2 linked regions of the Rhinolophus ferrumequinum genome follow. Each later gene encodes a partner of the first gene's protein in a complex. Links are inferred from orthologs where the notes say so. Each region holds a gene or a part of one and is shown on either strand. Other genes may lie near its edges.

Evidence for each region.
Region 2: the proteins of JAML (region 1) and CXADR are in contact, whole or in part, in a crystal structure (PDB 3MJ7), measured with the Mus musculus proteins. The link is inferred for Rhinolophus ferrumequinum from reciprocal best matches to the Homo sapiens genes JAML and CXADR. Residues at the interface, in NP_001005421.3 of Mus musculus: Arg57, Asp59, Ala69, Tyr72, Phe75, Tyr77, Leu80, Val82, Glu120, Arg122, Ser127, Met128, Val129, Met130, Lys131; in NP_001020363.1 of Mus musculus: Thr23, Gly51, Pro52, Asp54, Glu56, Leu58, Ser60, Gln65, Ile66, Val67, Asp68, Gln69, Val70, Leu73, Tyr83, Lys121, Lys123, Lys124, Ala125, Pro126, Gly127, Val128, Asn130.

Annotation. Positions count from the first base shown.
Region 1 is NC_046294.1:87,587,275-87,594,775, reverse strand, and holds the start of JAML (junctional adhesion molecule-like), read left to right. Parts: upstream 1-4,430; 5' UTR 4,431-5,164; intron 5,165-5,279; 5' UTR 5,280-5,403; intron 5,404-7,501. Other genes in the region: MPZL3 (myelin protein zero-like protein 3), read left to right, coding at 1,494-1,520. UniProt on the Homo sapiens protein: Transmembrane protein of the plasma membrane of leukocytes that control their migration and activation through interaction with CXADR, a plasma membrane receptor found on adjacent epithelial and endothelial cells.
Region 2 is NC_046285.1:87,474,295-87,482,284, forward strand, and holds the start of CXADR (coxsackievirus and adenovirus receptor), read left to right. Parts: upstream 1-4,922; 5' UTR 4,923-5,093; coding exon 5,094-5,136; intron 5,137-7,990. UniProt on the Homo sapiens protein: Component of the epithelial apical junction complex that may function as a homophilic cell adhesion molecule and is essential for tight junction integrity.

The DNA of each region.
Region 1 (7,501 bases):
CATTCAGTAGGATGTCTTTTCATTTTGTTGATGGTTTCCTTTGCTGTGAAAAAACTTTTTAGTTTGATGTAGTCCCATTTATTTATTTTTTTCTTTTGTTTCCCTTCCCCAAGGAGATACAGCAATAAAAATATTACTAAGGGTAATGTCTGAGAATTTATTGCCTATGTTTTCTTCCAGGAGTGTTATGGTTTCAGGTCTTACATTTAAGTCTTTAATCAATTTTGAATTCATTGTTGTATATGGAGTAAGAAGGTGGTCCAGTTTCATTTTTTTGCATGTGTCTGTCTAGTTTTCCCAGCACCATTTATTGAATAGACTCTCTTACCCCAATGTACATTCTTGCTTCCTTTGTCATAGATTAAATGACCATATAGGCATGGATTTATTTCTGGGCTGTCTATTCTGTTCCACTGATCTATGTGTCTGTTTTTATGCTAATACCATGCTATTTTTATTACTATGGCCTTGTAGTATATTTTAATATCAGGTAGCATGCTACCTCTAGCTTTGTTCTTTTTCCTCAAGATGGCTATGCTATTCGGGGTCTTTTATGGTTCTATATACATTTTAGGATTATTTGTTAGTTCTGTGAAAAATGCCATTGGTATTTTGATAGGGATTGCATTGAATCTATAGATTGCTTTGGGTAATAAGGGCATTTAAACTATATTAATTCTTCCTATTCATGAGCATGGTATATACTTCCATTTATTTGTATCATCTTTAATTTTTTCTTTAATCAATGTCTTGTAATTTTCTGAGAAGACATTTATTTTTAATGAAACAGAATCCACTGGAGGTTTTTGACAAGAGAAGCACTATGAACTGATGTATGTGTTAAAAGGATCATTTTAGCTTCTGTGTTGAAAATAGACGGTAAGGGACCTTGAGAGAATCAGAGAACTCAATTAGGAGACTTTAGCAATAATGCCATTGAGAGAAGTTAGTGTTAGTTTGGATCAGGGTGGTGGTGGTAGAGGTGGGAAGATGGGGTTGTATTCTGATTATAGTTTGAAGGTAAAGCCAGAAGGATTTACTGATGGGTTGCATGTATATGAGTATGTTAAAGAATGAGAGGAGTTTCGGGCGGCCGGTTGGCTCAGTTGGTTAGAGCGCAGCCCTTGTGACACCAACGTCGCCGGTTCAATTCCCACGTGGGCCAGTGAGCTGTTCCCTCCACAAATAGAGTGAAAACAACGGCTTGACTTGGAGCTGAGCTGCTGGTGGGTGGCCGGTTGGCTCAATTGGTTAGACTGCAGTGCTCATAACATCAAGGTTGCTGGTTTGATCAACTAGATTGAAAACAACGACCTGACTTGGAGCTGATGGGTCCTGGGAAAACACACTGTTCTCCAATATTCCCCAATAAATGTGTAATGTGGGATGTATAAAATGGGATGGTAATGTGTGACTTTTGGCTAAATTCTGACTGTGGCAATATACTTCACATATACATCACATACACACAACTACTGTTCTTTCTCCTCCAGGATTCAGACTATGAAGAGACATACTGATGAAAATCTGCGTGACATTAGAAGAATCACCTACTAACAGAAAATATCTCATTCCACTGGCAGCTAAATCTTCTCAAAGAAGTGGAGCTGGCCTGGACAGTAATGATGGAGGTTTCTGAAAGTCATAAGTAAAGACTTTAGGAACCATTTATTTATTGAAGAAATGTTCTTTTTGTATTAATAAACTGTTCAAAAGCTTTCAGAGGAGACTCATACCTATCCCTTTTAATAACTTATACTCTAATTGAATGAAGGCATTCTTTTCCTGAACAGAAAGATACTTTTTATTTGATCTTTGCTCTTGAATGTATTACATGTTTTCTTCCAATTATTTGAGGAAGAATTGGCCACACTTCTGATGCCAAACTTATTATTATTATTTTTTTTAATGAAATGGAGCTTGTAGCTTCTTGATGTGCTTGCTACCGGATAAAATGTTTGGAATAAGGATTCTTAGTTTTTTTGCTCCGTGAACATTTTCATCTGTGAGTTAGCACACAGCATATATTCATTGGTTTGATTATCTCATTGATTATGTTCGAGTTTCTTGGAGTGTATAACACTAGTTTCCTTAGAGCTGGTAGGATCAAGAATCAGTGGTTTGCTTTGATTGGGTTTTTAAAGTATTAAAGTGTCATCAATTTACAACTAAGGAAAGGAAGTGTGAGGTACAGGTGCAATTTGCCAGGTGCAATTTGTTACTTTACTTTCTTAAAGCTAACTGATTAATGGTTTCCTTCTTGACTTTTCAGATCAGAGGCAAGAACTTTTCAAAAGGTTTTGTATGGATATATAGACTATTTTACTAATTATTTGCAGTGAAATGCTTTTTTAACCTGTGTTATTCTTCAGAAATTTTTTGACTCTAAAATGTACCAAATATCAGTGAACTGAGGTATTTACAAACTGTTTTTGCATAACACTTGAGATAAGGAAGTGATGTTGTGCATCACCTATACTTTTCCTTTCTGGTCTCTCAATACTTTATATCAGTTTCCTCTATTTTCCTACAGCAACCTATTTCAAATTTTGATTTATATGGGAATTTCTATAAGCCATTAAGAAATATATATGACATGTCAGGAAGGGTTGACAATGTAGTCCTCTGTACTAGAGTGATAAAGTTCACTTCTCAATTATGAGAGACAAAAGTTATTCCCTCCCCCCAGCTTTGTTTTTTCAGTAGGATAGTCCCTTTTCATGGATCTTCACTAGGTGGCTCAGGAGGTTTCCATATTACAGCATTATACATTGTATATGTTATTAAAAAACAACTTTTACATTTTTTTGCCAACATCTATTTTTAAAAATTTGGGTTGTTAGCTCTGTCTCATGGATTTGCCCTGGCCTCTTTTAACCTAGTCTGTAGATTAGAGATTCTGATTAGTTAATAGACATGACTTACCTCTAGTCATGGAAAAAAGTAGAAGAGGCACGACAGGATTGGCAGTTTACATTTCCAGTGGTTAAACCTCACAGTCTTGGGCTACTTGTTAAGTATGTGGTTGTCTGGCGTCAATCTTTTGGGCCAATCTGGCACCTCAACAGAGACAAGAAAGCAGTTTGAGCGACGACAATAAATAAATTGGGTGCTAGGAGATTTGAAGATAGAGATCTAATTGTGAAGCAGAGTTTTTTTGGGTCCCCATTTATCTGAGAAAGCGATGAAGTTACGGGAAGCCAGTGAAAGCCACATCCCATTAAATGGGGAAACAGTTTTAGCTAGGTTTGCTTGTAATTTCCTTTCGGGCATGTTTTGAGGATTAATACTGTGTGGTATGTTTGTCACTTTAGGCATATGGTGCTGTGTGAATCCTTAGTAGTGTAATTTTGTAGACTTGATCATGATTTGAACCAGTCCTTTTAAAATGACTGAACAATAGAGTCCTTCATGGGAGGAGACTAAGTTGATAATTTAGTCTTGCTCCGTGGGTTTGTGTTCACGTCACAGTCATAAGGCTGCTATCAGTTTTCTTCTTCATCGCTTATGTTGAGCTCTTCTTCTTCTTCAAAGGAGCACAAAGCTGTGTTTGGACACCTGCTTTCTTGAAGGATGGAAGGAAGATAAAGTGTGTGTGTGTTTTTTAACCGTCTGTTTTAATATCTTCTAAGGTGCTATTCTCTATTTTTCTTTTCGCTGCTCCACGAGTTCTTATCACACTGTATGGAGACCAGCCTTGTCTAGAAAGGGAATTTAATTCTGAAGGCTTCAGAAGGGCTTAAAAGCCTTTCAGAATATTTCTTCGACTGCTGAAGTCTTTACTCATGGTTACATTACTTTATGAGTTTTGTGCATCGAGCTCTTAATTCTGTTACCAAATGTGAACTTTCAAAATGCTTTGTGTTTCCCACGTGGCCTGTTACCTCAGGCTTCTTTGGGAACAGCTTCTCTGCAGATCCCAAATTGGGCACTGGTGCTTTACAAGGGAACGTTGCATGTCCCTGCTTTAAAAAAATTCTGGAGGCCAAATCCTGATTCTGAATGCTCTGTTGTGTCACTCAGTTATGGTTTCATCGGGGAGCCATAAAAAGATCCATAGGGAATGGACCAAGACTATCATTTAATTGCACAACTCAAAACTTGCTGCCAGAAAAGGCAGCTTTGGTCTTTTGACCCCAGTGTTGTACTGCTCGATTGTTAATTGCTGCGTTTCACTGCGTTCTTTTTGTTTTTTTTTTCTAGGAGGATATGCACTGTTGGGCCATGTTCACAAGCATTGTAACTCTTGATATTTTTACCATAACATACTTAATAAACATCTTTGCACTTTCTGGCTACTTTTGGTGTATATCTACCTATAAGATGAGAACTGTCATATGAAAAGAGGTTTGTGGTTTTCAGCATCAAGCAACCATCTATTCATCTTGGAGCTGTACCCCAGCAAGAACCTGCATAGATTCAGTAGTGTACTGGAGCCAGATCACACAGCAAGAGCTCATTGTTAAATATTTAGGAATTTTGCAATTCTTGGTTGTTAAACTGTTGGTAGCTTGCAGTGTGCCATGGTGGGAGTATTTATTTAAATTGCTGGCTTACCAGCACACCGCTTCTCAAGAATCATGGAGCATAGTCTTTGAGAAGAGCAAGCATTCAACAACTTTTCAAATGATACAGGTCAAGTTACAAAAAACAAGCATGCCCATGTGTATGTAGGTCAAGCCAATCCAGCCAAGGTTAGAGGTGTGTACATTGAGAACACTTATTTTGAAGTGGTGACTTAAAAGCCAAAAATACCTTGAAGTGAAGAAGCCTTGAGTTCTTACCTAGGATGTCTAAGTCACCTAAGGGATTCTCTGGGGGAATAAAAATGCTACTTATATTCTGGAAATGCTGATACCATACTGTCAGAGGAAATTGAAATGTCTACGTGATGAGTTGGAGGACTGAGGAGGCATATCTGTGGAAGCAGGAATTGGGGGATTGCCTGGCTCTTATTTTGAAAAATAAGAATGGTTGCTATAGTTTAAACACAGGGTACAATGCTTTGTGTTAATCTTAAATTTACTGTATTTTGTTTGCATGAGGCAGATTTCTTTCTCAGCAAATGTTTGCCTGATGCCCTTGAAGATCCCACTCGCGGAGAGCTTGTACTCCAGAAGGGGAGTTGATACCTGCAGAGGTCTGGAATATGAGGTTCTCCTCAGTAAGTTGGCTTTATTACCTCTTTTTACAATGAAAGTATTAATAAAGATTGGGTAATGGGCCAGATAACTGAAACGAGAACCTAAATTCAGAGGTTCCTGTTTGTGTCTCTGCAGCCACCTCAGAACACACGCATTTGGTTTGCTCTGAGCCTGACCCTGCGCTGGCAGAAGTCTCTGCAGTCGGACTTGAGAACTGCAGTTGTGGGAGAGTTCAGTGCATTGCTTCTCTTCATCTTGGGTAAGCAGTTGCTTTGTATTTCTTAAGTAGTGATTTGAACTTTTCTCTCTTAGAGGAAGGCTGGTTCTGAAAGTGTTAATTTAATGGCAATCCTTTTGTATCGTGAGGCCACAATCACGGAACTCTCGATCTCTGCAGGAGGGCTGTCATAAGGTAGTCTAGTGGGTGCAGTTTTCCTTTCTGTAGTGCAGAGTAACTGGTGATCCTCAGAGAAAAGAGTAAGATTTGCTGTTAATAAAAGAGTAAATGATGATGATGATGAGAAGGCTTTTGCTTTTAACTTGCCTGTGGCTTTAGGTAGAGCTGTGACTAGCTGTCCTTGAACTCATGGCAAGAGTCTTCCTTCGCTGTTTCTCTTCTCCCAATCCTATATAGGCTAATACTTAACCTGAAGAAGTGAGGAACTTAAACCTTCTACTAGAGCAAGGCTATTGTCCATACTTGTCACATCCTCTGCATAACCCTGATCTCAGGAAAGAATGATGTAGAATGGTTCAGGTGTAACCTGGTCAGAAGGAGTGAGAAGGAATACTGACTTCCAAGGTAGTCTTCAAGTAAAGGGTTGAACGATGTGAACTAGACTGTGTTACAAGAAGCCATGTAACCTACCAGTCTGTATTAAATGGTCTTGGAAAGAAAAATGAGGACTTATTTTAAGAAGTTCATGATGCTTCAGAATGGTTATATGGACTTGTATACCTAAAAACATCGCAGACCCCAGAGGTACACAGCCATGTGTAAATTGAGGGAACACAGACAGCACTCTAGGTGGAGCAGGCTGTGTGAGTAAGGGAAGGCTGTGCAGTTGTGTTTGCTCAGTGGTTGGTTGTCATTATTAGGGGCAGACACTTTTCTGAGGCAGCACCTCTCTCTTGTCTTGTAATATTGTGATATGTGGGGGTCATTTTCACATTTTGTGTGGTACTCTCATTGTCAAGAGTCTCTTTTCTGAAGATTTTGTTCTGTGTTTATTGTGCCAAGGATAACAGTTCCCCAACACGATTAATAATAGGAAATCCTGATAGTTACAGCTCCCCAGGAGTGATAGAAGATATTTGCCAGGAATTATGAAAGAGGCATGAGCTCAGGTCAAAACGTTTGGCCAACGTGTGCGATAAATTACTATGTAGAATTATCTCAAGAACATCTGCCGAGGAGATAGTTCAGTACGTAAAGAAGGAAGCAGGGTCGAAGTTGAGAATTCAAGTAGTCTATTATTATCAAGGTGCAGCTGAAATCTTTGATTGTATTTTTAAAGACTGAGATTCATTTTATATACAGTAAGTCCTCACTTAATTTCGTCCATAAGTTTTTGGAAACCGGGACTTTGAAGGAAACAATGTACACCAAAACTGATTTTACCATAGACTAATAGATATAAACGAGGAATTTCTGAATATTTGCCAACTAACTAGGAAATGGAAATTGAAACTTTACTAGAGTGTTTTTGGCCCTGTTAGGTGTTATTAATTCATGTGACAGGTGGTTGCTGGGGCTCAGCCTGCGCCTTACTCCGAGCTGGCACTAGAGATGCAGAGGCATATAGTCAAAGCTCTTGGCCTCATGGAGCTTATAGTCTTGGAGGGGTGAGGGTGGAGAGCAACTTTAATCAAACAAGCACACAAGTAAATAGATAATTAAAAATTGTGTGACCAGTGCCCTAAAGGAAAGGTAAACAGTACTATTAAAACATGTGCCTGGTTGGGCGGCTGGTTGGCTCAGTTGGTTAGAGCGCAGTGCTCATAACACCAAGGTCGCCAGTTCGATTCCCGCATATGCCAGTGTGCTGCACCTTCCGCAACTAGATTGAAAAAAAACATGAAAAACAAGACTTGACTTGGAGCTGATGGGTCCTGGAAAAACACATGTTCCCCAATATTAATAATGTTCCCTAATAAAAATATTAAAAAAAAACCAAAAACATGTGCCTAGGCACCTGACCTAGGAAGGGTGGTTCAGGAGAAGTTTCCCTGAGGAAATGACATTTAACTTGAGATCTAAAAGATGAACAGTGAAAGGGGCAGGCAGACCATTTAGTTAGGGGGAGCAGATTAATCTTGTTTTGACAAATGAAGTTCAGAGAAGCTTTCCCCTAAAA
Region 2 (7,990 bases), on another chromosome or scaffold:
AACTAGGAGATACCCACTTGAGAAGGTCAAATATTACAGGCAGAAGGGAGAGACAGCATCTACAAAGTGGCCGTAGGCATGGGTGGGTAGGGAGTATGGGATGAGCTTAGAGAGGTATGTGAAAGCTAAACTCCTCCGAGTCAAGAAGTATTACCTTCATCATAAACAAAACTGAAGCCCCTGAAGAATATATCTTCATGGGAAGGGAATATATGCTACTGATTATGGTCTAATCCAAAGAAAGGGGGACTTATTCGGAATTCCACCTCTGTCTCTTAAAATACCTTATGAACACGTTAACATCTCCGTGACTCCAGTTTCTTTACCTATTACCAGTTTATCACAATGTGTGTCATCTCGAGCTTTGTAGAGATATCTTAAGGAACAGTGAGTCATAATTGCTGAGTTCTTTGAACTCCTTGGATAAAAGATGTTACACGATCTATAAATGGAAAGCATTGTTATTACCTATCAGATGGAAAGCTGTCTCCAGCCAAAAAGAAACCAGCAAGATATAAAGTAGATGGAGGCTCCATCCACTTCTGTAATATTTAAATTTATTGTCTGGGTATGAATTAAATGGGTTGAATACTAGGTAAGCACAGCATCTTTGATCTAAAATGCCCAGAGCACTGTGCAAGTCATGTATTCTCAAAACAACCTATATGTACGCCACAGACACCAGACATTGTAATTCTTTCTTCCTGAGGATCATGACAGAGTTCAGTTTAATTTTCTTTCTAAAGGTCATCATCAAAGTTAGCGTAAAATCCTAGAAAGAGGATATATGCTCTGGGTTTATTCTACCAGTCCTATTTCTTTATACACAAACGGGCAAACAAAACATCTCAAAGCCAAAATACAAACTATGGAACTGTGGAAACAAAGAAAGAGCTTAAGTAAGACAAGCAATAAATTTTCATGCCTAGGTATGTACCTGTGTCTTTCTTATCTTTAGCACAGGGCAAATTTAGTACTTTGTGGATTGTTTTTGGCCTAAGAAGAAAAGAGAAGAAAAGGAAAGGGACTGGAGATGAAGACACTATAAGAAAGGGGACTTTGGGCAAAAGAGGTGACATAGAGACAGAGATGAGAGGGAAATTTATAAGGTCACTCCTTTCCTTCCCTTTCGGAGGAAAATCTTTAATATTATTAGTATCACCAGAACAACTTAGATTAGGGGAGGAAGGGAGACAAGCAACGCCCAGAGCAATTGATCCAGAGCCTATGAAAACATTTTCATTTCTTTTAGAATCAAAAGAAATAATAATATGATCCAGCCTGGATTAAATTTGCCTTTATACCAACACAGTCGTAAAAGACAGTTTTAAATATTTTTTGAGGTGAAAGAGGTCCACAAAGGCAAAAGTTCATAGGTCCCCTGAAAGTCAAAATGAGACCTTGGAAATGCCCTAATTTAGATATTTTGAGGAAAAGTTGCTGAGGAAATGCCTGACAATTTAATTTTTCTACCCAGATGCTGTTTTTCAAGTGATTCAACAAATTGAGTGGAGCAGCTAAGTGAAAAAACCTGGGGGGTCACCAACGAAGGAAGATGTGGTTTGATTTCTCTGTACAGCTCATAGAACAGGAGTGTTAGAGGGCGATTGAGAAGAGAAGAGAGTGATGGAGCTCATCTGACAGAGAAGAAACGAAGAAGAAAGCAACTGGAAGAAACAAGATTCATTTTTGGATAAGAACGTTTTTGTTTTTTTTTATAAGGAGGGTGCAGCTCAAAGTGGCCCATGTCGGGATCACATCGGCAACCTTGGTGATGAGCACTGCACTCCAACCAACTAAGCTAACCGGCTGCCCCAGATAAGAACATTTTAAAAGACCATCAGTAAAATCCTCAATTTTGGTCCGTATAAATTGATCACTTTTGTCTATTCATTTGGAATCCACATTATTAGGAATTTAAACAAAGTTCTGGGTCACTGGCTAAGGGTTGACTTATAAATATTATATATATGGCATAAAACTATTATAAAAATGTATGTGTTTATAAGTTCATTTCCTTAGCGGCACATAGAAGACTGGGATGGTATCAACCATCCTCCCACCTCAAAAAATATTTAAAACCAATGGTGTTGGTAATATAGGGACACACTCGTGAGGAACCTTCACTCCTTGATACTAGCATTACTATTTTCCAGAAAATATAAAAATCAGCAGTGTCACATATGAAAGAAAGTTTCTTGCTTCACATGCCTTCATATTCCAGGATGATAAGAGGTGAGAATCCTTTAATTCTTAAGTGTAAGTCAATCTCTGAATGTGATTATAGGATTTGAATCATCTGTAGGTGTGTTGAAAAATCCATTACTGCTGAGAAATCTTTGTAAGGACAGATGCTATATTAGCCATAGAATTATTTATGTCTCTACAATTAATTATCACCTTCTTTGAGGGGCCAAGAACCACCTTTCTGCTGGTTTAAAGGCTATATAATGTGGAGTGCTTGGTGTTTTGCCAAGATAGGGCAAGTCATTTAATGATTGTGCACTATTTGTTACCTTGGTTTGAAGATGCCAAACAATCAACAATTTGTACATTCCAGAATTAATGAGATTATTTCATTACAGCTTCCAGGAGACAATTGACAAACTTACAATAGCTACAAAGGCTTTTAAAGGTGTTGTTAAGAAGTTTCAGGGGCAGCCGGATGGCTTAGTTGGATACAGCGCGAGCTGCGCCCCCTGCAACTAAAGATTGAAAACGGCAAATGGACTTCGAGCTGAGCTGTGCCCTCCACAATTCGATTGAAGGACGACTTGGAGCTGATGGGCCCTGGAGAAACACGCTGTTCCCCAATTTAAAAAAAAGGAGATGAATCTCAAAAACATTATTAAAAAAAAAAAGTTTCAGATAACTGCATAATTTTAGCTACTGTTTATATGAAATAATGTAGTCACAACCAAAGTCCAAAGATGACTACATATCACTTTTCCCCATTTTTCCCCCAGCTTTAATATAATTTTTAAAAAAGAATAGTTCCCTAAAAAAGATTAAACTGCTCCTTTCAAAGTTACTTAATTCTTAGAGATGATACATTTGGAAGTATAACCTAAAGAAGCATAAAACCTTAATTTTGTAAAATTTACATTGTTAAAAGTACAGTCTAAAAAGATATATTAAGATGTAATGATTTGGGAGGTACTTTTTTATCAATATATGTCGATATATTAATACATGAATTAAATATTTTACATTCAACAAATACTACAGAATCTACTATGGGTTGCACTTCCAAGAGTGCCTTTTTGGCCTTCTAGAAAGATTAAGAGTAAGAGAAGTGATTGATAGACATGAAAATACCTACCACAGGAGGCAAAATGTAAGGAATGTTAAAAAAAAAAAAGTTCCAGAAGGAAAAGAATTAAGATGAATATCCTTTTAGGAAATTTCTAAAGGTTTCCTCTAATATGTGGTTGAGATGACCCCTGTAGAATGGGTTTAATTTCAACCCAGTGGAAAAGACACTCACGGCAGCAATTTTATAACAAATGTGTGCTACTTTTTAGTGATTAGTACTAGAAAAGTTATCATAAAATAGTCTGAAATAGATATGAACAACTTCAATGCTTAATCTCTAATTTCATAAAGTATAATGTGGTGAGTAAAAATTTAGGTTCCAAATATTTTATATCTTCATTTATATCCAGTAGAATTCCTGTTTCTTCAGCTAATAGGAAGTCCCTAGTGGTTACTCTGAACTCTTCTTAAATCAGCCAGGATTCCACTCTACACAAGTTAAATCAGCATCTCTGGAGTGGGGCTCAGGTAGTGGTATTTTTGCACACTACAAGCTAAATTGCAGTTGGGCAGTTTTGGTTTTCCTGATAACTGATTTTTCTGGTTCAATAAATAAGAATTTTCCAATATTAATTTCATTAGCTTCCACTTTACTATTTACTATTGTGCCAGGCATGGTGCCAACCATTCTTTCCTGCATTATCTCATCTAGTTTTCATAGCTACCCAAGAGGTAGGAGCTGTTTCTAAATAGTTTGCCCAGTTACTGACTCATTTCGGAGCCCAAAAACTTACCCACTGCGTAACGCTGCTTCTCTCCTCTAATTCATGCCTGATATGGAACAGATGGGAAACACAGGTGAATCGGCAGCTATAAATAAACCTACCTGAGCAACTGAGTACACGCAGGGAAATGAAATGAGAACACGTGTGGAGGGCACCAGGAGGAAGAAGGGACATTGCACCCGGTGATTCACGATCTCTAATTCCCCGGTCCCCCAAACCTCCTACCCCAAGCCTTTAAATATCCTCACTTAGCCCCACTTTCCCAGCTCACTGGTCTTTGTTGGCCAATTTCAGGGCCAGAATAACCTTTAAATTCAAGGCGAGGAAAGCCAGTCTGGGTATTGCCCAAGTCCGTAGCGGCAGTTTAGGGGTTCAGTCATTACTGGAAATGAGGAAAAGCATTCTCAAGCCTTCTCCATCAGGCCATCCGACTCAATGAGACCGAAGCAAATGCTGGGGGTTAGTGCCCTTCCCCAGAGCCTTAGGCGGCCGCTCCGAGCAGCGCAGCAAACCCTCACAGGCGGGACGCGTGCTGGAGACGCCCCACCCACTCCTACCCTAAGAGAAGGGAGGGGTGAGCGCGGGCAGCCAAATGCTAGAGCCGCACTTCAGGTCCCTGCGGCAGGCGGACGAGTATTGTCCGCTGGCGCGCCCTGAAGCAAAGGCGTGACCGCAATTTTAGTTGTCTGGAGAGGGGCGGGCCCGACCGTAGTGCACAAACTCTGCTTTAACCGAAGGCATGGGGGCGGGGACGCAGGCTCGGGCTTGGCGCGAGTAGCCGCGGAGAGCCACCGCTCCCAGCACCACACGCCCGCCGAGGAGCTCCCCGCACAGCGACCGGCTCGCGGTTGCCATGGCAACCCCACGCGCCCGCGCGGCCGAGCCACTGCCGGAAGTGACGCGTTTCACCTGCCGAGCGAAGGAGGGCGGGGTGGGGCTGGGGTGCCGAGGTGCCGCAGTTGCCTGCCAGTCGGGAGCGCGCGAGGCGCCGGGAGACAGACCCCGGGCGAGATCCCCCTACCTGCAGTCGCCGCCCACGGCCGCGCCGCCACCATGGGGCTTCTGCTGCTCTTCCTCCTCCTGTGTGGAGTTGCTGGTGAGTGTGAGCAATTCTATCCCTAGTGTCCCCATTGACTGGTCAGACCCGGGGCGCTCGCCGCCTGCGGCCACCCGGGAACAATGAGGCGTGGGGGAGGGGGCGGGCGGGCGGGGAGAGGACGGGTGCGATTTGGGGGCTTTGCGGCTGTCGTGGTTGTGCGGGTGGAATTGTATGGGGTGATTTTGCCCGGCCGGGTGCGCGAGCCGCGAAGGCGGAGCGGCTCGGAAGGGAGCCATGCGGGGGCGTGGGGTGTCCGGGGAGCGGGGGCGGGGGCGGGGGCTGAGCTAGGGACCGAGCCCCGAGATAAGGGGCGGCGGTGGAGGGGCCTCCCCCGCGCGGCGTGCGGGGTGCACCTGGCATCTCCCCCACTCCATTCTTGGCCGCCGGTCCGGGCTTTGCTTTATTTGCTCTTGCTCTTCCCTTGTTAGCCGCGGTGTAGTGTCCGTCCGGGTTTATCCGATTTCAAAAGCCTTGGGCGGCGAGTTTTCAGGTGTCGAGCAGTCCAAGCGAGGAGACCGAATTACAAACGCCATGATTAAATGGACACTGAGCTTTTCAGTGCCTGAGATCGTCCAGGCTACCTCTAGGAAAGAGGCGCTGAAAGAACGGGAAGGCTCCCGCTCCTGGTCTAGTCGGAGAGGCTAGCCCAGGCGCGAGCTGCCAGCTAGACGGTAACTCGGAGTAGACCTTGGGAAATCAAGAGTAGGTGCCTGCAGAAATGCAGTATTGATTTCCGCAGTTCCGGGTGCAAAGTGCGAAGGAGAAATTCGTAACATGGGTTTTGAGTATATAAGGAGGTGGTTCCTTTTGAAGATAAGACGGGATGACGTGTACAGGGTAATTCCTAAAGGATTCTCCAAGCCCATTTTTCCACTGCGCCTTTCTCTGGAGGGAAAAGAAGCCATTTAAAAAAACGCGTGGACCATTAGAAAGCATAATCCTTGGTACTTTAAAAGACTGATCTATTTCCTTGTCAGTTTTTTAACCAACTAATGTTGTTTGTCAGAGTAAGCCCTTGTCTCATTTTTTTACCTAAATGATTCGTTAAAGAAAAAAAAAATCCATAGGTGGGGACCCTAGGAGACACACTTTGTGTATCCTCCGGAAGGATAATTTCTAAAGTGCTCCAAAGCAGGATGAGGTGGCCCTTTCTGTTGGGATGGCTCTCTACTTCCTGTTGAAATGTTAATTCCATTGTTGGATGCCACAGCTGTGAGCATTACTCATGGGATCAACATTCTATTAACAAGTCTAATCTTCGATCTGAGTTTAGAACACTACCTCCACCTTTTTGATACCGTGTTTCCCTGAAAATAAGATGTAGCTGGACCATCAGTTCTAAAGTGTCTTTTGGAGCAAAAATTAATCTAAGACCCAGACTGATATTATATTATATTATACCCAGTCTTATAGTAAAATAAGACCGGGTCTTACATTAATTTTTGCTCCAAAAGACACATTAGAGCTGATGGTCCAGCTACATCTTATTTTGGGGGAAGCCGGTATATATCATTTAGAATGGCTGAAAATTCTGAAGTAAAGCTTCTGGAAAAGATGAAGGATCAGCAGCCAATTTACATGGTACATTCCCATTTTTGTTTTGTCAAGGATGAAACTAAAGTTGAAACTGAGAACACAGTGTTTCTGTTCTCTGTGGGGGAAAAAAGTGTTTTAGGGTACATCTGAATCAGAAAAGTGGAAGAACATAAACCATCTAAAGAAATTTCTTTTTCCGGGGATGTTTGGATACTTGGGTTTTTTTTTTGTTTTTTGTTTTTTTTTTTTTTGGATTCTTCACTTTGGTCTGCACAATCTCACCCAAGGATATACTGATACATGCTAGAGTCATTCTGCCCATAAAGTGTATACAGTAGGGTGCAGCGAACATCTCATTAAACGACTATTGTCTTTAACTAAACAAGACAACTATTTTTCATTTTCCAGCTTAGGAGACAACTTGAAAACTATGTGATTGATGTGTGGATTTGAGTTATTTCTTCAGATACCTCTTGCCAATGTAGAAATTCATTGCTATGACCTCACGTTGAGTGGTTGCATGATTGGCTCCGACAATTGGCAAAACAAGGTGGAGGTTTACATATTTTAAAAATTGCAGTGCTATCAGCAGTAGACCTCCCTCTAATTCTGTCTCTAAAGGAGTTGTAAAGAGTTCTGTGTTACACTCTGGTTGCTGGTGAAACTCCTTTGGATGCGTTTTGATTGCCAACCTCATAGCACGTCATACTATACAGTACTGGTAATGGTAGGGCCAGTTGTCTTAGAGCAGTTGCAATGGTAATAACATTAAAGCCTTGATTGAGCAATTAAATAGGGGTTTTACACATACTCAATCTATCTAGCAACCCTATGTATTATCCCTGTTGTGGGGAAACCGAGGCACAGAGTGGTCGTAGAAGTTGAAAAGGTCACAGATTTCCTCCTTAGTGCTTGCTCTTATAACTATGCTATTCTGCCTCTAAAGCAGCTCCTTTCCTCTGATGACCTCTAATCCACATCCTAAATTTCTATTACTGGTTATCACTCATTTAGTAAGAACCTGCTGTTGGCTTGACTGTGTGCCAAGTATGAAGGCTTTTCATAGCCCTTTAAATTCTTTGTTGACTACTTTCAGGCACTGTGAAAACAAGAGGATCCAGGGCTTAAACTGGTATTGCAGACTAATGTGGCCCATGTACCAGCAGTCTGGGGATCTTGATAAAGTTTGGGGTGCTGCTGTTTTTCACACTGTCAGTGTGAAGGGAACTAAAAGAAGTCCTGGCCAATGACTCTGGTCTCCCAGCCACTTGTTAGCCCTTTGATGGTGGTAGGTCCCTGTCCTCTCTGTGTGCCT